Caenorhabditis elegans: one gene and its partners. The protein of the gene in region 1 interacts with the protein of each later gene in a pairwise test. Each region holds a gene or a part of one and is shown in the gene's direction. Other genes may lie near its edges. The genes, in order: memb-1, eef-1G, unc-64 and C15H9.4.

What was found.
Region 2: the proteins of memb-1 (region 1) and eef-1G interact in a two-hybrid assay, tested with the Caenorhabditis elegans proteins (one large-scale study listed by BioGRID).
Region 3: the proteins of memb-1 (region 1) and unc-64 interact in a two-hybrid assay, tested with the Caenorhabditis elegans proteins (one large-scale study listed by BioGRID).
Region 4: the proteins of memb-1 (region 1) and C15H9.4 interact in a two-hybrid assay, tested with the Caenorhabditis elegans proteins (one large-scale study listed by BioGRID).

The regions. Positions count from the first base shown.
Region 1 is NC_003284.9:9,439,400-9,443,518, reverse strand, and holds memb-1 (Golgi SNAP receptor complex member 2 homolog memb-1), read left to right. Parts: upstream 1-1,947; 5' UTR 1,948-1,954; coding exon 1,955-2,082; intron 2,083-2,129; coding exon 2,130-2,199; intron 2,200-2,251; coding exon 2,252-2,379; intron 2,380-2,664; coding exon 2,665-2,746; intron 2,747-2,843; coding exon 2,844-2,948; intron 2,949-2,992; coding exon 2,993-3,121; 3' UTR 3,122-3,440; downstream 3,441-4,119. UniProt on the Caenorhabditis elegans protein: Involved in transport of proteins from the cis/medial-Golgi to the trans-Golgi network.
Region 2 is NC_003283.11:10,963,395-10,968,636, forward strand, and holds eef-1G (putative elongation factor 1-gamma), read left to right. Parts: upstream 1-2,324; 5' UTR 2,325-2,430; coding exon 2,431-2,439; intron 2,440-2,580; coding exon 2,581-2,703; coding exon of another isoform or gene 2,704-2,725; intron 2,726-2,770; coding exon 2,771-3,091; intron 3,092-3,135; coding exon 3,136-3,268; intron 3,269-3,303; exon of another isoform or gene 3,304-3,521; intron 3,522-3,594; coding exon 3,595-4,070; intron 4,071-4,095; exon of another isoform or gene 4,096-4,222; intron 4,223-4,261; coding exon 4,262-4,396; 3' UTR 4,397-4,528; downstream 4,529-5,242. Other genes in the region: ctf-4 (WDHD1/CFT4 second beta-propeller domain-containing protein), read right to left, coding at 1-428, 473-786, 831-1,014, 1,060-1,171, 1,220-1,453, 1,504-2,015, 2,062-2,145; dbd-16 (DB domain-containing protein), read right to left, coding at 4,577-4,750, 4,791-5,030. UniProt on the Caenorhabditis elegans protein: Probably plays a role in anchoring the complex to other cellular components.
Region 3 is NC_003281.10:13,275,332-13,283,818, forward strand, and holds the start of unc-64 (Syntaxin-1A homolog), read left to right. Parts: upstream 1-1,927; 5' UTR 1,928-2,037; coding exon 2,038-2,051; intron 2,052-2,096; coding exon 2,097-2,196; intron 2,197-3,235; coding exon 3,236-3,335; intron 3,336-3,903; coding exon 3,904-4,158; intron 4,159-4,541; coding exon 4,542-4,636; intron 4,637-4,885; coding exon 4,886-5,002; intron 5,003-5,215; coding exon 5,216-5,326; intron 5,327-6,892; coding exon of another isoform or gene 6,893-6,976; exon of another isoform or gene 6,977-7,009; intron 7,010-8,455; coding exon 8,456-8,487. UniProt on the Caenorhabditis elegans protein: Plays a critical role in several secretory processes, including cuticle secretion and neurotransmitter release, and probably assists in neuronal membrane maturation or the final stages of neuronal differentiation.
Region 4 is NC_003284.9:6,095,561-6,100,929, forward strand, and holds the start of C15H9.4 (Transmembrane and coiled-coil domains protein 2), read left to right. Parts: upstream 1-2,082; 5' UTR 2,083-2,152; intron 2,153-5,369. Other genes in the region: C15H9.5 (GOST seven transmembrane domain-containing protein), read left to right, coding at 1-47, 284-425, 905-1,116, 1,181-1,288, 1,345-1,378.

The DNA.
Region 1 (4,119 bases):
ATATCATGGATGATAGACATAATTTGGTGAATTGTGACCAGTTATTTTCTTATACGTAATTTGCACCTGAATCAGCAGAAAAAGATTTTTTAAACATTTGAAAAATGCAAAATATTATAGGTACGTAGTGTTTAAAAAAATTAACTTCTGTCTGCTGCGTCTTGAACAACTTTTTCGAAATTGAAAATATTTCTGCATATAAAAAGTATTTTATTTAACCATTGAAATGTCACTAAAAAAATTCCGATATAAAAATTTTGATACTCAACTTTTAAAATTAATTGTGCATTATTTTTGAAATTTAATTGACTAAATCAAGTTATCATCGAATGAAAAATAGTTAGTATGTTCAAAATTGATTGCCTAAAAATAATATGGAGCAGTTGACACACAAATTAAACAAAACTTACAAACTTCTGACAGTTTCCATTAATAGAAACTTTCGGGTCCAATAATATTTCGTTTGAAACAAATAGCAATAAAATGTGTTAAACACTTGCCGACATTACATACATCTTCAGAAATATTCTCTTTGCATCATTAGAAATTCAAGTGGTGAGAAATTGGAATTGGATGGGCCCACCACAAAGCAAATTGGTTGCCACAAAAAGAGCAAATCATCAAAAAAGAGAAATACATCAAAAAAGACAACAAAAACGAAAATAACTGCCATTTCAAAAGCCGTATCAGTGGCTGAGAAGAGCAGACAGCACACAGCTGTTTGTGGGCTCACCGGCTCAATGAAAATCTCATTTCAAATGATCACAGAGGAAAATGCTCAATTTGTTTGTTTTTATGGTTTTATTTAAAGAAAAAACAAGAAATCCATAATATATTTTTAATGAAAGTGTAGAACGTTTGAACAAAAAATCCTTCCAAAATTGTTTTTTTTAACTGAACTCTAAAAAATACACGAAACAAAAAGTTTATTTGTTGTCCGTGTTCTACTTTTTTTCATTGTTATCTACCAAAACAGTGGAAAACAAAAACAAAACTGACACTTTCCCTAAAGACGAAGACGGAGAAAAAAAAAAGAATTGTGAGTTTTCTCTTCTTTTTTGACCATTAAAATAAATGAGAATTTGAAATTGAGTTTGAAAGGGAAAAGGACGGAGTGACTTGACTTTTTGGAAGAAACGCCAAAAAAATATGCAAGAATGCAAGTACAAAATAGGTGGCACATAATAGGATTATTCATAGCATTCGCACTGGAAACTAGAAGTCATAACATCAGAGAAAAGTCGGAGGTTTCAAAGTGAAACTAATCGCGTTTTCTTATAATATTTGCAAAAGTGCTTCTCTTATTGCAAACTTTTCCTATTTACTGTTTGGAGAAAAGCAATGCTAAGCAAATAAGTTAAGTTTGTACTCAAAATAGATATGTTGTTCTAATACTAGCGCACCTATTTGAGGCACAAGAAGTATTTCAAAATATTGAATAAGTAAATACAAGAAAAAAGCGATAATTTCTCAGTATCGATAATAAACGCACATTCAAAGTTTTGGACACTAGACTACATATGATTTCGGTATTTTTTTTTTCTCGGTCAGATAAAAAACAACAGTCTTTCTTAGTTCTTAAGCAGGATTTTCATTGAACCTATGCGTGGAATAATTTGGAAGAAAAAAAACTGTTTGAACCCCTGTTTCAGCTTACAGAATGTCAAGCAAAGTTTGCAATTTACCATTCTTTTTCGTTTTTTTTTTCTTTCCTTCCACTTTTGACACTATTTCTCCATCTATACACATGCCTCCTTCCTTTCGTCGTTACTCCCCTTTCTTTCATTGCCGTTCTATGTTGACGTCACACTGTGCACTTGTGCGTCGTTGTGTTTGCGTACGACGACTCACCCCTCGATTTACGCGGGGACACATCTGTACTTTACTTATTCTTGGATTCAGATATTTTTTTTTTGAATTTCACATTTGTAATTGAAAGTTTTTCAGTTTATCCATGGAGGCTCTTTACCAAAGCACCAATTTTCTTCTACAGAAGGTTCAACATGACCTTGGACGACTAGAAGGCACTCAAAACGAACAAGATGCGCAAGTTGTTGTACAGTGCATATATGGTGATGTCATGTGAGCTGACTTAAAATATTTTTTTGAATATTAAAATAATTTTTTAGAACCCTGAAGGAAAACTGCCAGACATTAGATAATTACGTTTCTCGAGAACCTCCAGCGAGGCGGCAAGCGGTGAGAAAATTTGGAAGAAATAAGACAAAAAATCAATAATTCAAAAATTCAGGCCCGAATGAGAGTTGATCAGTTACGCGCCGACGTCCACAGAGTTGATATGGCCGTTTCGGCAGTACACACGAGAATGACACAAAGATGGAGAGCTGCTACTGAACGAGATGAGCTTCTTAGGACGCGGTAAGTATTTTTTTTCTCAAATTATCAAACGAAACAAAGACGATTAAATTGCTGCAAGAAAATATGGACGGTATAAAAACGCTGGTGTATACAAGTTTGTTAAAATTATTTGCAAATTTATACATTTGATCAAAGGATTTTGCTGTAACGAAGTTTTGTCAATCCTGCGAAAGAAAACAAAATAGTTCTCTCACTTCTGATTTGTGTAACAGATTTAGTAGATTGAATGTAAATTAAAGTTGATCAAAAATTTGAAACATTGAATGTATGTAACTAGAAATTCAGATATCGGCCAAACGATACAGCGCTTTCAATTGGAGACCACGAGCTTCTTCTCAATGATCGCCTGCAATCTTCCCACACTCATGTGAGTTTTCAGATAACGTTTATGGTACTTACCACTTAAAATTAAATTTTTGTCTTCCGTTAATTGAAAAAAATGAATTTAAAAGCAATAATTGCAGCTTGACGATCTGATAAGTCAAGGATCTGCTGTACTCGAAAACTTGAAATCCCAGCATTTAAATTTACGCGGCGTTGGGAGAAAAATGCATGAAATTGGCCAAGCTGTAAGTTACATTTCTAATTTCAACTTTTAAAAACATATTTTGAGTTGGGTCTCTCTAACTCGACACTTCAAGTCATCGATCGGCGTGTTCGTGAGGATTGGATCCTATTTGTGATTGGATGCATTGTCTGCTGCATCTTCATGTACGCATTTTACCGATTCTGGCGTGGATGAGGAAGAATCAGTTGAATGCGAAACTATCAACCATCTCGTCATACATACCAAAAATGCCACGTATTTTGTGATTTCAATAGCATATCTATTGCTGGCCAGCGACAACTTTTTTTTGTCATTATTTATTTTGTTTCATTTCCTGCATATCTTTATTTATTTATTTGTTCATATACAAATTTCCTGCCATTTTCTGTTGACTCTATATTCCTTTCAGTTTGGAATAATATATGATGATTTTTGTATGGGAAATGGGAAGTTTTGTTAATTTTTCAAAAAGCCTTTTGAATGTAAAAATCTGTCTCATTAAACTTGTCATAGCAAAACAACAAGACAAAATTCAGAGCAGAAAAGTAGATTTTAACAGAAAAAAGGGGTTTTTTCAAAGTTTGAAAACTAAATTCCAAAAGCTTCTATAACCGCAAAGAAAAAGTGCATTTTCAGTCAAACATTTTGAAGTACATTTTGAAATTGATTTGAACTGACAATTCATATGCAAAGTTAGTGGATTTTCAAAACTTTAAAAATTAATATTCCGCTTTAAATTAACTGTTTTGAAAATACCCATAGCGATTTTGTTGCAAATTTTGTGTTCATTCAGATTTTTAAACACATCCTACTGGAATATTGTTGGTACATTCTAAAAGAGCTTAAAATTTACTACAAAGTTTCTGAAAGACATTTCAAAAAAAGTTACTTTGAAGAGATTTATGAATTTTCAAAGTTTGGAAAATCCATCTGTTTTTGTCTATAAATGGTAGTTTTCATTGAATAATGAAATACGCACTAAAAGATAGGGCTGAAAATGTACTATTTCTGTAACTACGTGAAGCTTCTTGTACCTACTGAAATATTGTTAGTAAATTCTAAAAGAGCTTAAAATTTACTACAAAGTTTCTGAAAGACATTTCAAAAAAAGTTACTTTGAACAGATTTATGAATTTTTAAAGTTACGAAAATTCATCTATTTTTGACTATAAATGGTAGTTTTCATTAAATAA
Region 2 (5,242 bases), on another chromosome or scaffold:
GCAAGTCGGTCTTCAAAGCAAGCAGCTGTGAGAATTGGTGCGAAATGTGTGAATATTTGTCGTTGAATTCCTCCAATAGTGAAAACTCGAATGTTTCGTTTTTTCGTGAGCACAACGACTTGAGTATTTGAGCAAAGCACATCAATACACCCGTCTCCACGAGGAAGAACCATCGACCACCGCTGACTGTCGAATGCTTGAATTGGAATTACATGTAGAAGACTAGTTCCTTTCTTTTCTGTTTTAGCAGGTTCATCAGTTTCAAGATCTTCAATGTCGTCGTTTGCTTTGTCAAGTTCTTTCTCTTTTTTCCGGCTCTCAACACTTGCCAGTGCAACAACCTTCAACGAAATATCCGCGAGTTCGTAGTTGATTTCAAAGTTGTCAATATGAATATCACCGTGGATGCTTTTATTGTGAAACTCGATCTGAAAAAAAAACGCTTGTTGTGAAGCAAGCTTATACAACTTACATCTATCGTTGAAACTTTATTTGCCTCGTTAACGTAGCTGCGAATAATTCCGAATCGATTATACTTCAGAAACCTTTGTGTTGCGTCGAGATCCATTGGAGAGCTGTTAGATACAAATCGTTCAGGAATAAGAACTTTTCGGGGAGCAGGTGGATCAGAATAGACTTGCGGGAGAGGATCATTCAAATTTCTGTCCGAGCTCATCGGTCGCATTTCCTCAGGTTCACCGAGTTTAAAACCGAATTCTTCAAGCCCTCCAAGATCTTGGTTCCCATAATTGAATTGTCGTTTGATAGCTCCAAGATCGGAAGACACTAAAATTAAAACATCAAGAGAAATTATATTTACAATCCCTCACTTCGGGTATCTTCATCTTCTTCAATGGCTTCTTCATTGAATAAACTATCTTTTTTGAGTGAAGTTCTATTCAAAAGGATTGAGTCGTCATCATCACTATCAACTGCAACATCTTCAGTTTTGTTTGAAACAGGCTTCTCGTTAGATGAATCATCTTTGAAGACATTAAACAAACAGATTCCTCTCTAAAATATTGTTACTTGAAAGTGCTCGAAAAGGGAAAAACTCACATTTGAATCAGCGACAATCAATTTTTTTGGGGAGAATGGAGAAAAAACAATAGAAGTGATGATAGTGATACCAGGTGCATTTCTCACGAATTTTTCACAACACACAATATCTCTGGAAAAAATGTATTATTTATCAGTTCACACATTTACCTAAATTTACAATTCATCACTATTCCAAACAGCAATTTGATTATCCATGGTTGAGGAGGCAAGATACTTCCCACACGGCGAAAGCGCAGTAACCGAAAAATCCACAGAAGCATGATCTTTCAAACGGTATACACCAGATTCTTCCCACCCATTTCGACGGTACGATTTCACACATCCTTTTGAAGGAACAAACAGCCATTGACCATCCTTTGACCATGAGAGTTGAATACGAGGTCGTGAAACACTGAAAAACAGGACATTGTTTAAAACCGAAGTATAACATGAAACACTAACTCAATTGTTTCAAATCTTGGGAAAACCTTGGTCAGTGTGTGTTTAATCGAGAATGAATCAATGTCTATAATAGTCACATTGCCATCCACAGTAGAAACGGCCACAAATTCATTTTTTGGATCCAGTTTGACACAAAGAACTTCAGCTTCAAGACTTCTCGTTTTCAGCTCTGCATCTAAATCTTTCATATTCGTGCATTTAACCGCATAATCGCTAGATCCTCCAATAACATTTTCCCTGTTTGCGTCGACCGTTGTGACATCCATTTGGAATTCAAGAGGATCAATAATATCTCCTGCTTCGAAATTGCCCTTTTTCGCCCGTCCCACCATTTGCTGCTCGGATCCAACAATGAAATCCACCTTGCGGTAACCAAAACAGATGTTTTCTCCATACCAAGCAATAGATGATGTTGTCGCATCGGGAATCTCGATTATTTCAGGTTTTTCATCTTGCAGCAACACGTTCTTATTGATCTTGAGTACATTTCGTTCAGCATCACAAACGTAAATCTGAAAAAAACAGGTAAATATGTTTATAAATCGTTTTAAATCCTACATTTTCAGTATCTTCTCCTGAAGCATCAATGCAGATAGTTTGAAGGCCGATATTCTCCAAATTTTTAACGTTAGTAAAGCTCATCTGAAAACAATGGAATTACGAGTGAAATTATTTATTTTCATCAAAAATAAATAAAATGCGAGCAAATTTTAAACCTGATTCTTGGCGCCGAAATGCGGTAAAAAAGTGTAATGCAACCATGGACCAGTGAACTGCGTAGAACCCCTATGTTTTGCGTACTGGCATTCTGCCAGGGGCACATACGCAGACTTTTCAGTGTATTTTTCCTCTGAAGAACACCACTCTTTTCAAGCGCCTCTTCTTTGAGCGTCGCTTCACTAGATTCTCCGACTCGTTGGTGACATCATGACCGGAGTAAGTTTATAAAATTAATTTCATTAAATTTGCAGTGCTGTTAAGAATAGTTAACGTGATTTCCGTTCGTTGCATTGAAAAATGATTAGGCCAAACCTTGAAATGACGAAATTTAACCAATTATTGATTTTTATTTTGCAGAAACTGTATGGAAACAAGGACAACTTCAGAACCCAAAAGGTTTTGATTGCTGCCAAGCTCGCCAACAAGACTGTCACCCTCGCCGGAGATGCTGCTCCAGCTGACAAGTTCCCACTTGGAGTTGTACGTTTTAATTTATTTAGATGTCAGTATTTGACGATCTGTGAACTATCAATGTGCAGAATTTCAGACCCCAGCATTTGAAGGAGATGCTCTTCTCTTCGGAGCTGAGTCGATCGGACTTCACCTGACTGGAACCTCAGCTAACGCCGAGACTGTCCAATGGCTTCAATTCGCAGAAGGTTATCTTCTTCCAGCTGTTCTCGGATACGTTCTTCCATCTGTGTCTGCAGCCAACTTTGACAAGAAGACTGTTGAACAATACAAGAATGAACTCAACGGACAACTCCAAGTACTCGATCGTGTTCTTGTTAAAAAGACCTACTTGGTTGGAGAACGTCTTTCTCTTGCCGACGTTTCCGTTGCTCTTGATCTTCTCCCAGCTTTCCAAGTACACTATGACCCAGATTATATGTATACACTCCTAATTTTCAGTATGTTCTTGATGCCAACGCTAGAAAGTCCATCGTCAACGTCACCCGTTGGTTCAGAACCGTTGTTAACCAGCCAGCTGTTAAGGAGGTTCTTGGAGAAGTTTCCCTTGCCTCATCGGTTGCTCAATTCAACCGTAAGTTTCTTTTTTGTTAGTGTGAATTTGTTTTGTTCCACTGCGAAGTCAGCAGACTAGTCAATCGATTAGTAGGCGTTACAGTGGTGGAATATCAAGATTTATGTACACCGTCTTTGCTTGAAACAGTTTTTGTTTTTGCTTTGTTCGGAACGTTTTTCATGGGACTGAGAGTTGGAAATTTAGCACTGGTCGTTTACAGGGTTGTCCTGCAGTCAATTCTAAGTTACCTTAGTTTATGTCCCACACATTTAAAAAGAAATCTAATTTTATAAAAAAACTTCTGATTTTGTATTCCCAGTTTAAATTTTATTCTTATTTTACAGAAGCCAAGTTCACTGAGCTCAGCGCTAAAGTCGCCAAGTCTGCTCCAAAGGCCGAGAAGCCAAAGAAAGAGGCCAAGCCAGCTGCTGCGGCTGCCCAGCCAGAGGACGATGAACCAAAGGAGGAGAAGAGCAAGGATCCATTCCAAGATATGCCAAAGGGAACATTCGTTCTTGACAATTTCAAGAGATCTTATTCCAACGAAGACACCGCTACCAAGGCTATCCCACACTTCTGGGAGAACTTCGATGCTGACAACTGGTCCATCTGGAAGTGCGAGTACAAATACCCAGAAGATCTCACTCTCGCCTTCATGAGCTGTAACCTTATCAATGGAATGTACCAAAGACTGGAGAAGTTGAAGAAGAATGCTTTCGCCTCCATGATTCTTTTCGGAACCGACAACAATTCGACCATCTCAGGAATCTGGGTGTGGAAGGGTGACAAGCTCGCCTTCGAACTCAGCCCAGACTGGCAGGTAGGACCATTTCCTCGATTTTGAATGTCGAAGAGTAGTCATTTGTATACGTGATACACTTATACAGAGTTACACTTTTCGTATATAAGTGCTTCTTCTCGTTGGAGTTGTTTATTTAATGAGCAATTACCTCTAAACTGAAAGCAACAATTTTATGAATTCTCGATAGTTTTCACAATAATATATTTCAGGTTGATTACGAATCGTACACCTGGACAAAGCTTGACGCCAAGTCCGATGCCACCAAGAAGGAAGTCAACGAGTATCTTATGTGGGAGGGAGACTTCGGAGGAAAGAAGTTCAACCAAGGAAAGATTTTCAAGTAAACTGGAGTTTCCATACAACCCGGTGTATTTGCCATTTAATCCTGTTGTTTACTCTGAGTCGGAAAGAATAAATTGTTTTCTATTGTTTATAAAGGACCCGGTATCACTTCAATAAATTATATCTTCTTCAAGTTGAGATTGAATTTATTCGTCTATAAGTGTTCCTAAATAATTTTAGATTTAAAAATTAGCTCCTAAGCTTGTTTCTTCGTTTTCGGTCGTCGTATAGTCCTCGATGTGTCCTTCGAAATATTCTTGATTTGCGTGTTCCAAAAAGCAAGATTTGATGTCGTTGAAATATTGTACACATTGCAAATGGTTGATTGAGAGGCTATTGACATCACTATCTTGACTCTGTAAAAATCATTGCGTGTCAGTAAAATGTCTCTCAAACCTGATCGCAGAAAGAGTGACAGTGTATTGGAACTAATGATTTGGAGCAGCATTCCGTGTGGTTTGTTCCTCGTGCCGCACAAAAATGAATCTTTTGAATTGCAGTCACTGGGCACACTGATTGTTGAAGAAACACTGCACTGACTTCTTCTGATGAGTACGTAGAATATGAGCATAAATCTGTGCAAGATGATTCAACTTCGAGAAGTGAGCAGCAGGTGGCAAAGTGCTCATCCGGTGTCTGTTATTTAGATATTATTGAAATTAAAATTTCCAGGAACTTTTTTCATAAGTTAACTTTTCCATGATTATTAGGTAGACACGTAAAGGTCACGTGGAGTCAGAAAGTCCCATTTCGCTTTGATCTTCAAGAAATGCGGGAGAAGAGACGCAGACTTTTCAACCGATTTTGCATGGTTAAGTGTGTGCTGACGTCACATTTTTCTGGGAGAA
Region 3 (8,487 bases), on another chromosome or scaffold:
GTTTGGAAGTACTACAACTTTAAACTAAAAATATTTAACTTTAAAAAAATATACAGCATCAGTTTATGATGGCCAAATGCCATTTTCAAAAAGTTTTATGATTTTTGAAATTTGGAAGATTACCAGTTTTTGCCACTTTTTTGGAAGTCGTCGATCAGAAATTTAAACAAAAATTCCTTCGAATTTTATGGTCTATTTATGTTCTAAATATTAATATTCAAACATGAAATTTGTTCAGTTTTGTACCATAGGAGCCACTGGCGCTACTCCACCTTTAAAATTAAAAAAAAAACAAAGAGTGGCAAAAAACAGAAATTGCCACTTTTTGACTAAATAAGAAATTTTCAAAAAAAAATTCGAATTTTTTTACTATGAAATTTAATCATTTTGGCACCATAGGAGTCGTTTTTAACAACTTCCCCCACTGCCCTGATCAGATCCCTAATCCCACCAAATCATTCACCTCTCTGCTCCGTCTCACTCCTTAAAAAATGGTGGGATAAAAAAAAGAGTCGCAGAGAAAACCCGCGAAAAAAAATAGGGGTAAAGAGTCCCGCCCCTTGACACGCAAAAGCATGAAAATGGAGAGAGAGTGTGTGTGTGTGTGAGACGTCTAACTGTCTCGTCGCCTCTCCTTTCATCGTTTTGGCTCTTCCTTTTCTCTCTCTCGTGCTTTTCCCATATATATCGAACAGATGTGGTCTCTCTCTCTCTCTCTCTCTCTCTTTCACCGGGAAGAAGACGAGCTTTTCCCCCTCATCTCTTCTACTCTCTCTCTCTCTCTCTCTCGTCACTCAGTTTGCTCCTAAAACGGCTCCCCGAGACACACAACGCCTTCTATTCGGTGCTGCTCCCCCCGCGTCCACTCCCCTCCGCCTCACTTATTTTTTGCTCTTTTCCTTTTTTTTTCTTTGAATTCTCTATTCTGCCCTATTATCTTTTCAGTTTATATACAAGTAACCACGTTTTTATTTCTTTTTTTAGACTTGAAACTTACTTCAGTTACCCTCTGTCCTGTACAAAAAATTGTCAACTGAGAAAATATTTGTCATCTCTTTCTCTATTGTTTTGTTGTTATACATTAATTGATATATTTGAAATATGTAACCAAAAATATAAAATTTTAACGTAAAGTGCAAAAGGAAATACGGGTAATCTAATTAATTTTTTTTTTTGACTTTTCAAAACTTTTTTCCACTTTTTGAAAAAAACTACAACACTGTCATGTTCAAATGCCATAGTTAAACTTTTCAAAAAAATTTTGAGCATTTTTATTGTCAGCCAAAAAGTGGCAATTACTGACTTTTTGCCACTTTTATTTTAGAAAATAGCACTGCCGACCATTTATATTTGAAACATAAGTAAATCATAAAATTCGAAGGAACACTTTTTATATCGACAACTTCCAGATAAGTGGCAAAAACTGGTAATCTTCAAATTCCCAATAAATCAAAAAATTTAGATTTTTTTCGAATTTTTTACTATAATTTTTCGAATTTTTTACTATAATATGAAATTTGGTCATCAAATGTACATTTTTCGAATATAAATGTTTTTTGTTTAAAGTTGTAGTATCGTCAAAAAAGGCCTAGTCTAGTCTATATTTTAGTTTGTTCAAAAAAAATTTCAGTCAAAGTTTTGGTAAATTGCCGAATTAAAACGTACACTAAAGTACGAAAATAATAGAAAAACATTAATTTTGGTCGACTTCCAAAATTTTTAACACCAGGTTTTGACCACTCGAAAAAAATTCCCCTTTTTTTGAAAATTGTTAGTATGAACTTTTTGTGCAATTTTTAACAATCTTCATTCTATATAATTTTTTTTAAGTTTTAATAATCTGATAATTTCTATTTAAAGTATATTTTTCCCATTTCTCCTTTTTAAACTTTTAATTCGATTTTTAAATTCTCATTTTTCCTTTTCCAGACTTTCCATCAAAATCTCTTTCTTGTCTCTTTCCATTCACATGACTTTTTGACAGTCCAACAATAGGAACCACTTTTCGTGTCGAGACCTGTCAACAGGAACAACAACATGACTAAGGACAGGTGAGTCAATATTCTTGAATCAAGATAATGATGCACAAATTTTAGATTGTCCGCTTTAAAAGCGGCGCAGTCCGAGGATGAGCAGGACGATGATATGCACATGGACACCGGGAATGCACAATATATGGAGGAGTTTTTTGAGCAGGTACTGTAGTGGAAAAATTGGTGTCGAAATAAACAAAAATTATGGTTCAACTTTTTGAAAAAATACATGTAAATTTTTTCATTCAAGTCCACTTTAATAATTTGAAGTCGGCCAAAAAAATGTTTTAAACTCAGATTTTTTTAAACTTCAACTTTATTTCAATTAATTGGATTGGAATTTTGTTAAGAAATTCTCGAAATGTTTTTTTTTGAATTCCACAATATCTGAAAATTTTTAAAAATAGTTGATAATTTTGAACTATTATATAACGAGAACACAACATTCTGAGAATGCGTATTGAGCAACATATTTGACGCTCAAAATATCTCGTAGCGAAGGCTACAGTAAGTCTTTAAAAGACTACTGTAGCACTGGTGTAGATTTACGGGCTCGGTTTCGAAATTTATCGATGAAACATTAAAAAAATTTTTACTTGTGAAACTAAAGAAAATAGCGCACGTAAATCGACACCAGCGCTACAGTAATCATTTAAAGAATTACTGTAGTTTTCGTTACGAGATATTTTGCGCGTCATATGTTGCGTCATATATGCGTGATATGTTGTGCAATACGCATTCTCAAAGCGATTTCCAAACTGTAAATATTTTAGAAATGGATTTTGAACTTCTCAAATTTTCAAAAAATTCTACTAGTTTGAAAAACAAAACAAATTCCAAAATGTTCGCAAATTCTATGACCAATCACACAAGCTGTTCAAATAGTTGAGAAACAAGAAAAAATGAAACTCAATTTTGTGATGTATTTCAGTGACGTCCCCCCCATATTTCGCAATCTTTTTTTTTGTTGCTCTCTTTTGTCAATTTGCCTCGATTTTTATATATGTGTCATTTCGGGTGTCTCTGTTTCCCATGAGGGGGCGATTGAATATTCATAGTTTTTGCGCAACCGACGGCGACCTTTTTTTCAATTCATAGAGATATATAGATTCTATGGAATTTTGTTCTAGGAGCTCTCTGTGGAAATAAAAATGTTTGGGGTTGATGAAAATGGAAACACTTTAGTTGAATTTTTTTTGCAGGTTGAAGAGATTCGTGGAAGTGTGGATATTATTGCGAATAATGTTGAAGAGGTCAAGAAGAAGCATTCGGCAATTTTATCAAATCCAGTTAACGATCAGAGTATGTTTTAAAAAACTGAACTTTTAGAAAATTGATTTTTCAGAAAAATAAAAATATCGAAAATTTTCGTTTTCCAGATCTTTCGAAAAAATACCTGTAAATGTTGGCTTTTTTTTTTCTTTAAAAAATTATTTTTTTAGGCTTGGCCTTAGGCTTAGGCTTAGGCTCAAGGTTAGGCTTACGCTTAGGCTCAGGTTTAGGACTAGGCTTAGGCTCAGGCCAAGGCTTAGGCTTTTAGAGTTAGGCTTAGGCTTAGGCTCGGCGAGGCTTCGTTTTAAATTCTCCAAGAAAAGATCTGGAAAACAATTTTAAAAAGTTAAAAAAAAGAAAATTTTCATTGTTTCGATTTTTTCGGAAACTAGCTTTGAATTGTGACTCTTTTTTTTCTTTCAGGAAAAATTTTGTGCGTGTTTTCTCAGTAAAATAAACAAAGTTAGATTGAATTTTTTTAAAACAGTTTCGTTAAAAAAATTTCGAAAATAAATTTTTTAAAAAATTGTTGAATGGATAAAACAAGGTTCAAAATATTGTACTTTTTGAGACCCCCAAAAATATGCCACAATTTCAGAAACCAAAGAAGAACTCGACGAGTTGATGGCAGTTATCAAAAGAGCTGCGAATAAAGTGCGCGGCAAACTGAAATTGATCGAAAATGCCATTGATCACGACGAGCAAGGAGCCGGAAATGCGGATCTTCGAATTCGAAAAACTCAACACAGCACATTATCGAGACGATTCGTCGAAGTGATGACTGATTATAATAAGACACAGACTGATTATCGAGAGAGGTGTAAGGGACGAATTCAGAGACAACTCGATATTGGTGAGCTTTTTTTAAAACATTTTTATGGAAATTTTGCGAAGCAAAAGTTGTTAAAGTAAAAAAATCTAGAATTTTGGAGCACACCTGAATCATGGTGCTCCCAATGTCTGCTACCTGCCTACAAGGCGGCTTACGCCTACGACATATATGTATACCTGTCATAGCGCAAGACGAACCCAGAGAACATCGGACGCTTCAAAAAAATTTTTGTCAGGCACACCGACTAGTCGAATTATAAGTATCGTAGGCAGGTAGGCAGGCAGACGTGTAGGCCTAACTGGGGCAGGACAAAATTTTTCCTGACATTCTGTGCCACTAAATTTTGGATCAGTTTTTAAAAAAATTCACACAAAATTCTAATAATCCATTACATATTTTTTCAGCTGGAAAACAAGTCGGAGATGAGGATTTGGAGGAAATGATTGAGAGCGGAAATCCGGGAGTATTTACACAAGGAATCATCACAGATACCCAACAGGTTTGTTTTTTTCTAATTTAAAATTTGAAACAAAAAATTGAAAATATTAACAAAAGTTATTCCAAATTCGTTTTTTTTTTTGGCTTAAGCTTAGGCTCAGGCTTAGGCTTAGGCTTAGTCTGAGGCTTAAGCTTAGACTTAAGCGTAAGCTTACGCTTACGCTTAACCTTGAGCGCGGGGAGGCGTCCTTCCAATTCTCCAAGAAAAATTCTGGAAAAAAACCCAAAAAATGTTAAATAATTTTTTTAGGCAAAACAAACGCTAGCCGATATTGAAGCTCGTCACAATGATATCATGAAATTGGAAAGTTCAATTCGAGAGCTTCACGACATGTTCATGGATATGGCTATGCTTGTCGAATCTCAGGTTTGTGGAATTTTTGATATTACAAGTTGAATTTTCAAAAAAAAATATAGGTTTTTTCTAACAAATTTCTTAATGTCTAGTCTAAGGTAAAATAGAAGAGGTACTTTCCAACCAATCAGCGTCTTCGAGTCCGCCCACCCCGCCTGATTGGTCGTGTAATTCTCAGCTTGGAGGAAATTCAAATAATTAAAGAAAAATCCTGAGCTTTTCCAGGGAGAGATGGTTGATCGAATTGAGTACAATGTGGAGCACGCGAAAGAATTTGTTGATCGAGCAGTAGCTGATACGAAGAAAGCCGTTCAATATCAGTCGAAGGCGCGAAGGGTTCGTTTTTTACGTTTTTGGAAAAATTTAATATTGTAACTCTATTTTGCATGGATATACCTATATTGAGTTTTTTATTCATCAAAATTGATAGAAAATGTGTCTGGCAGCTGGGAAAATGTGGGTTCTAAAATTCCCAGACACGAGAATTTTTATAAATTTATTAATACAAACGGGTGTGTGCCTTTAAAGAGTATTTTTATTTTCATCGACTTTTCATAGTTTTTCGGAAACTTTTTATTTTCGCACAACAGTTTTGCATTCAACAAAAAATTGTCGTGTCAAGACCAACACGGCCCGGTAAGCAAGTGGTACATCCATGCAAATGCGCTCTACTGATAATTTGAGTGTAGCCAGGTTTGGGCGCGTGATAACGAAAAAAGCTTTTGGTCCAAAAAAAAATTCGAATCTATTTTCGGACATTTTTATGCATCACAAAAATATTGGACCACCCGTTTTTGAGATAGATGCGCCCAAACGTCCAGGTATACGGTAGACAAATTGCGTACTCATACAGTTTGCCGGGCCGTGAGTAGGAACCGTATTTTTGGCACAAAAGTCGGGCAGGAAATGATTCAAACATCATACCTCACGCGCAACATTTTTTTATGAATTTGAAAGTTTATGAAATATTAGAAAGTATAATGATATGATCTACCATTTTTCAAGTTGCCGCCGCATTTTTTTTTCAAAAAAATATCGATTCAAAAATTGATTATTGTACTGTATTAGTGATTCGTGGTGTACATCTGTAATGTTCCAGATGAAATGCTATATATTTGTGTTAATTGTTGTCATTATTCTCGTCATCGTCATTGCTGTCGTCATTTGGGTTATTGTTGCGAATGCTTCAACTTCTGTTGTGTTACCCTCAAAAACCTCAAGCTCCTCCACATCGAACACGTCTTCTCAACGTTTTCGTGTTCGCTGAAAAATTGTCATTGATTTTTTTTTTCTTAAACCCTCTTGCTTTCAAAATTCGGGGAAAATATTAATATTGGTGACGGGAATTGAGTTCAATTTTTCAAATCAATTTCTCATATGGGGGCTTTAATTTATTATGTTTTAACTTACTTTGTGTTGTCTCACTCTCTCACTCAAGTCTTTGTATTACGGGAGCATAAAATTCTGAGAATGCGTATTGCACAACATATTTGACGCGCAAAATATAACTATATCTCGTAGTGAAAACTACAGTAATTCTCTAAATGACTACTGTCTTTTTTTTGCTTAATATTAGTATTCTATCGATAAATCTCTTCAGTTTAAAATCGAGCTCGTAAATCGACACCACAGTAGTCAGAAGTTTTCGCTACGAGATGTAGTTATATTTTGCGCGTCAAATATGTTGTGCAATACGCATTCTCAGAATTTTGTGTTCTTGCATTTTTTGGAAAGTTTGTTGTTAGTTCTCAGCAGAGCGTGTTTGCAGACCGTGGACCTCCTGTGATTGTATTTTTTATTGTGATTGTCATATATTGTCCTGTGATGTGTTTTTTTTTTCGTCGTATTTTTTGTCGTAAACCATAAATGTTTCTCTCTAACCTATTTGTCCATTATTTTCAGAAGAAGATCATCATTTTGATCGTCGTCACCATCCTAATCGGCTTCGTTTCTCTGTGGCTCATTCAGTATATTCCTGGCATTTAAGCCCATTTGTTTCCCCGTCTAAACGCCCACGCTAAAAAAATTTCAAAATTTCAAATTCTATATGACAACAAAAACGGCTCCAATAATGAACCAAATTCGCTTGTTTTCTCTGAAAATAAGGGCTAAATATATCTTTGTAATTAGAGCATTAGATTAAATAGAGCAAACTTTTATTATCAAAAATATTTAATTTATTTATTATTTAGTTTCTTTCAATCAGGTACTTTTTTCATAATTAATCAACTTATTTTGGAGAAAATACTATTTGAAAAATCAAAGTGCAAACCCGCTCCACGGCCAAACGTCCCGCCTTTATAAATTGGGTCTCGTTAGGTATTTAGCGCGGCAACATCAGGAAATTCAAACGTTTTCACCCAGTTTTTCGTTGTTTTAAATATTTTTGCTGTCAAAATAATTTTTTTAAAAATCAATAAAAGCAATAGAAAGTAATTGAAAATGTTTGAATTTTCGAATTTGCCGCGCCAACTTCCTCACGAGACCCATGGTTTCAGGGCGGAGCGTTCTCAATTAGCCGTGGAGTGCGCTTGCGTCAAGGTTATATTACCGAATCTTGGATTTTTGCGCCGAAGCAAGTCAAATACAGTACCGGGTCCCAACACGACAAAGTTGCGTGCCATACAGAAATGTGCTGCGCCTTTAAAGATTACTGTAGTTTAAAACTTGTTTTTTCGAGGAAAAAAATTTTTAACTTATTACGGGAACACAAAATTCTGAGAATGCGTATTGCGCATCATATTTGACGCGCAAAATATCTCGTAGCGCAAACTACAGTCATTTAAAGGATTACTGTAGTTTTCGCTACGAGATATTTTGCGCGTCAAATATTTTGCGGAATACGCATTCTCAGAAATTTCTGTTCCCGTAATACAGTAATCTTAAAGGCGCATACTTTTTCGCGTTTAACAAAAACACTTATCGTGTCGAGACCGGGCAAAAATCACTGTTGATTTATTATCATAAAAGTACCCGAATTCCCGAACAAATTAATATTATTTTTCTTTTAAAAAAAGCCTAATTATTTCGCAATACATCCTGTTTTTGTATCTCCACTGCCTTTTGACCCACTTTTCGCGCGCTTTTCACACGTAAATCTCACCCCCGTTCTCTTCGACCAAGCAATAGTTCTTTTTAATATAAAAATTAAATTTAAATTACAAATTATTTCATTATTTTTTAAAATTAGAATAATATCGATCTCAAAATGGAAGCTTAAATATTTATTAAAAATTGTTTTTTCTACAAATTTTCAAAACTTTAGGATCCTTCCAATTTCTTACTGTAAGAAATTTTAATTTTTTTTTCAATTTTTTTTGCCACCCATTTCATGTGTTTTCTGTTCACTCACCACCAACCAACCAAAAAATTAATTAATCAATCAATAATAATAACAATAATGAATTTCTGAATCGCTTTGAGATATTTTTTTTGTGCAATTTTCTTACTAAAGCTAAATTTCAGAAGAAGATTTGCATCCTTGTCACCGGCGTCAT
Region 4 (5,369 bases), 3.3 Mb from region 1:
ATCTTGGATCTGTTCTGCTGCGCATTAGTCGCTTTTCCAATTGTTTGGTAAGATTTCAGATAAAATCTATTTAAAATATTTGGAGGATCATTTTGACTAGAAATTGAAATTAAAATTCAACAGGTTTTTTGAAATATTAACAACATAGAACAAACTGACTAATCAGAAAAATTGTACTAGGTTTCGTAAAAAAGATTATCCTATACGTATAACCCAATTTTGATAGAAAAATAACACTGATACTGGAAATACTGAAATTTAATTATTTTTTTATAAATTTTAGGTCAATTCAACACTTGGTAGAGGGAGCCACTACAGATGGAAAAGCCGCAGCCAATTTGGAAAAACTACGTTTATTTCGACAATTTTATATTCTCGTTGTCGTCTACATCTACTGCACGAGGTTTTTTGGCTTCATATTACTCGTGAGTTTTAGAATTATAACAATTAAACATGTACAAAAAAAATTCTTAGCTTCAAGCCAGCGCCAGTGGGAAAAGTGTTGAAACCCCACTTTTGTGGTGCCAAAATTCCAAATATCACAGTACAACTTTATACAATTTTTTTAAATTTTTGATATTTCGTTTCAAAAACTGGTAATTACTCAGGTTTTACTACTTCATTGAAGTGGTCGGTCAAAAAAAAAAACTACCTTTGGATTTTATAGTCTACGTATGTTTCAAACATCGGTTTTTAAACAATGTAAGTATAGATTGGGACAGTGCCAAAAAAAATGGCAAAATCTCAGTAAATGTCACTTTTTGACTATGAATTCAACATTTGTAAAAGATTTACTATGATATTCGGTCTTTTTGGTAACCTAGGAGCGTGTTCTAACAATATCGTCACCGGCTCCTACTCTAATTTTAATCATACATATGTGTGCATAATTATTCCCGTTCAGCACTTAATGCCTGTGAACCTCCAATGGACCATTGTCGCTGCAGTCGAAATGGTTACCTTCGCATTTTTCATCATCGTTGGCTACAAATTCCGGCCTGCCAATTCACACAATTATCTGCTCTTGAACTCGGATTTTGATAGCTATGATGTGGAGACATCGCCGAAAGAAGATAGGAAAGATAAAGAAAACAATGAGCAAGAAATTGATGAGCAGTGAGTCATTCGTTTTATCATCTTTGTGAAAAAATCAAAACCTTGAGTTGAGAAAATCTTGCAGATTCCTGACAAAAGCCTACTCAGATGCCAATGTGTCGAGGAGATTGGTTTCAGATGAATCATCAAACAACCAAACCGACTATCCCCATCAGAAACTTTTGAAGAAACCGTGAGTGGCTTTCAGTATTAATACATAACATTCAATAATAATCTGTATTTGTTCAGTTCTCAAACCTACGAACAATCATTGCTAGATTAATTATAATCCGTTACAACAACAACAAAAACAACAACGAGTTCAGTGCAAACGGAGGGAGGCTTATCAACTCAACCAACCAACTGTTTCGATTATAATACTATTATGGACAGGATGATCATCCAGACTTCTATCGCGTTCTACTCACTATTTTCAAACATTTTGCTTTTCAAATAACATTTCTACCGGTCCTTTCTAGATGCATGATAATGTGTATATAACTATTTTAAGATAATGATGAAAATTGAAACTGATTTTGAAATATGATAAAAACAATTTCAAATTCCATTGCAATATCAATCATTCCTTAGAAAATATTATCATCATTATCTAAAAACTTCAAGATGTATGAACTAAATTTTTTCAAACATATAGGTGAAAGTACACTGGCCAAAGTGTATAAATTCTAGTCTCCGCCTCCTTTTCCCCATCTCTAATCTTTTTTAGTTGTAACATTTAGTCCAATAAATTTCCAGTCGTGTGATGTGATAACTCGAGACTCCCTGTAAAAAAATATTGTTAATTATTTTTCATTCTATTGTGTACTATTTTCTGAACCTTCTGTGTCTTTGTGTGCTCTATGGTCATCTAGTGAATTCAATATCTTATAATTCATTAATGAAAAGAAGATTTTTTTCCTTACTTAAAATCCTTTGTAACATTGATATAACCTCATATTACAACATCTATACAATATTTCATGCAATTCAGAACGACAAACCAACTCTAATGAGGGATCGCCGCATTGGACAGCTGTCCGAGTTAAAAGGACTAGTGGTAAGAGAGGGGTGAACAAGCATGGCGAAAGGGGGTACGCATTATTGCGTGCGCGTGTTTGCGTACTGCGCGTATTAGCCATTGTCTGCCGACCACCCGGAATCCGGCCATTTTCTGTGCACCGCAATAGCCAATACCGCTCGATTATTAGTTTTACGAGCCAATTTGCTCTTTTTATAATCCATCTTAGCTGTTATCGATTTTTTTTCGAGTTTGTATGGTTTTATATGCATTTTTGTTTTGTTATTAATGCTATTATTATTGGGTTAATTGCGCAAAATAGTTTTCCAAAAGTTTTTATGTTGAAATAATAATTTCCTTCTTTATACTCCTTTTCTAATTATCATCATGGTTTTTTCTCTTTTATCTGTCGTTTCCCTCAAATTGCAAGAAAAGTGTTTTCTTTTTAATTTAATCACAAAATGATTATTTTTAAATTATTAAAAACAATATGATTTATGGTTCAATTTCAACATTCACTTGATGTATATCAATTTATATTGATTTTTCGCGTGAAAATATCTCAAAAGAGCTAATTGAAGCGCGGAAACTTGTTTACTGTGTTCTTTTTCTCTGTCTGATTCACCAGACATCACAATGCTCAGTTAGAAGGCAAAAACATTTTTTCCTCTCCTATATGCCTCTCATTGTTTTGGCCGTTTTTGGCCGTGTGGATTACTGTTTTACAAACTGTAGAATAGAATTTTCACACTTTTTTATTTTTCTTGATGTAAAAACTTTGATTTTGAACTGCAATCCGATAGGGGGAGATCTTCATTGAAAAAACGTTTTACCGCACTAGAATGTTCTCATAATTAATCAAACATTAACCAGTTTTAATCAACTCAAAAAAGTGGAACTTTACCCTTTGATAACAACTCCATTTCCGACTATGATGGTCAACGGTGCAATGATAAGAGAAACGTCTCCCCCTGTATATTGACATTTATGTGCTTTTTCAATTTTCCATTGACTACATATAAGACAGTAAGGTGGACAATAGGAAATAGTTTTGCTCTATTTTATGTTTTTGTTCACCACTTCCGTACCTGCAAAAAAGAATTCAGAGCTTGAAACCTTGCCACCTATTACGACCACAGTTTGCGTACAAATGAGTGTGTGTGTCCGTTCGCGTCCGGCCAATCCTCTCTTCGTCGCCTAGCCGTTTTTTCGCGCGCCTCGATCTTGATTTTCCGCGTTCCTGCAGTTTTCTGTGTTTTTCCGAAACTAGGCAAAATCAAAACGCGGCGCTCGATTTCTTTTCCATTTCCTGTTGACTAAGAAAAGAGTGTTTTAGTCAATCTTCCAAAGTGGTTTGATTGACATCGACGCCCCTATTTCACCACCAAAGCGTCTTCTTGCCCCCCGCTTCTTTCTTCCCTCATCTTTCAACCCTTGCCCCATAGATGGATGGCTTTTACATACTTTTGGAATACTTGCACTTCTCCCGCTGCTTGCTCTGTGTAGTTCAAAGTTGTCGAGAAGAACAAAAACTGCAAAAGGCATTTTCTTTTTTTTTTGCTTTTTCGCTTCATAGATCGTCGTCATGAATTATGTTTGGCGCGTTTGAGTGAGGTGTGAGTGCAAAGACCTTGAAAAACATTTCAATCGTTTTTTTCACAGATGAGCAGGTTGCCTATATATCTCCCCTCTCGTCAACTCGCTTTTTGTCACCATTGTTCTTTTGACCATTTTTACCACCTCTAACCTTTCGGGTTGATGTGTATCTCAATACTTTTTACGGTTGCGCCGCATTAGACCCCCGCGTTCGGGAGGAGGCTACCCCACAAGTGTTGACATACTCTTCAACGTTTCTACGTTTAGTTGTGCCCTCAATTTGTTATTTTGATTTCTTTTGGGCAAACATAACTATATTCCTTTTATTTGCCAATTTAATGTTTCAAAAAGTCGATTAATTACGTTCACAGCTCCCTTTACGAAATAGTGATGTGAATTGAAAATTTACTGGAGAATGAACTACTGGGTTTTAAACTTTGTCGTAATAAGTGCAAATAATTAACCGGATTTTTTTCTCAAAATTTGAATACCCGCGCAAATTCTTGCTGAACAAATTTTGTATGTTTTTTTTCCAAAAAACATTTTTTGTAGCAAATGAATTTAATATATTTTTTATAAAATAACCAAATATCATAATAAAACTTTAAAAAAATTTTGAAAATGTTTTTTATTTTGAGTAAAAAAGCTGTGAAAACTCAGTATTTATATATTTTTTCTATTTTTATTTTTTCAAAAATATTTTTTCATCCAGTTTTGTGCTTTGATTATATTCAAAATACTTATATTCAATAATTTCCGCATTGTAGAGATTATAACTTTTTACCGCTTCTGACTCGAAATAAGATTTTGTCCAAAGTTTTTTGATAAGTTCTATTATCATATTTGGTCATCATATATTATAAATCATGTAACTATATAAATATTTTAGGTCATAGCAAAAATGAATAGGAATTTCAAAAAAAAAATAAAAGCAAGTCCTTATTTGTTTTGCATACTTTTTCTAAATTTCTTTCAAGTTTTAGTTTTAATGTTAAAAAGTATAACAAACCGTCTAAAACTAATAATAGAGCGTCTTTACAGTCCAAACAAAATACGTGAAATTGATTTCCCGCCTCTTCAGACTTTTTCAAGCTGAAATATTTCGATCTCAACATTTTTGTTTAAATTTTGTAATAGCACAAAGTTCCAGAGTGCATTCTACATGTTTAACCATTTTTCCCCATTTCCACATTTTTCAATCGATGAAAAATTAATATAATGGCGTCGGATGAGACATACATTCTTTTATTTTCAAAATGTTCAGAAAAAAAGTTCCACTCACACCTCGTGATACAGTGACTCAGCCACTTTGAAATGACCAATTGTTAGAAAACTATTTAGTTGGTGGTTATAATTTACGTTTATATTTTAAATCATTTGACATGTTTCTCATTAAATTCCTTGGTAAATAATTTGTATTCCATCCATCACAATTTTCACAAGGACAAATACATAAATCATATTGTATTGTCGTATTAAGAAAGAAAAAAAAAACCAAATCTTGTTCGATTTTACTGTTTTTATAGTCATTCGAATGATGAATGATGGGTATGTAGGAAAGGTATGTACATAATATTACACAACTATATATTCCAAACTTCATTATACCGATAAGAAATTCAACGAAATTCTCCGACTTTTAGAGAAAAAGTTTGATAAG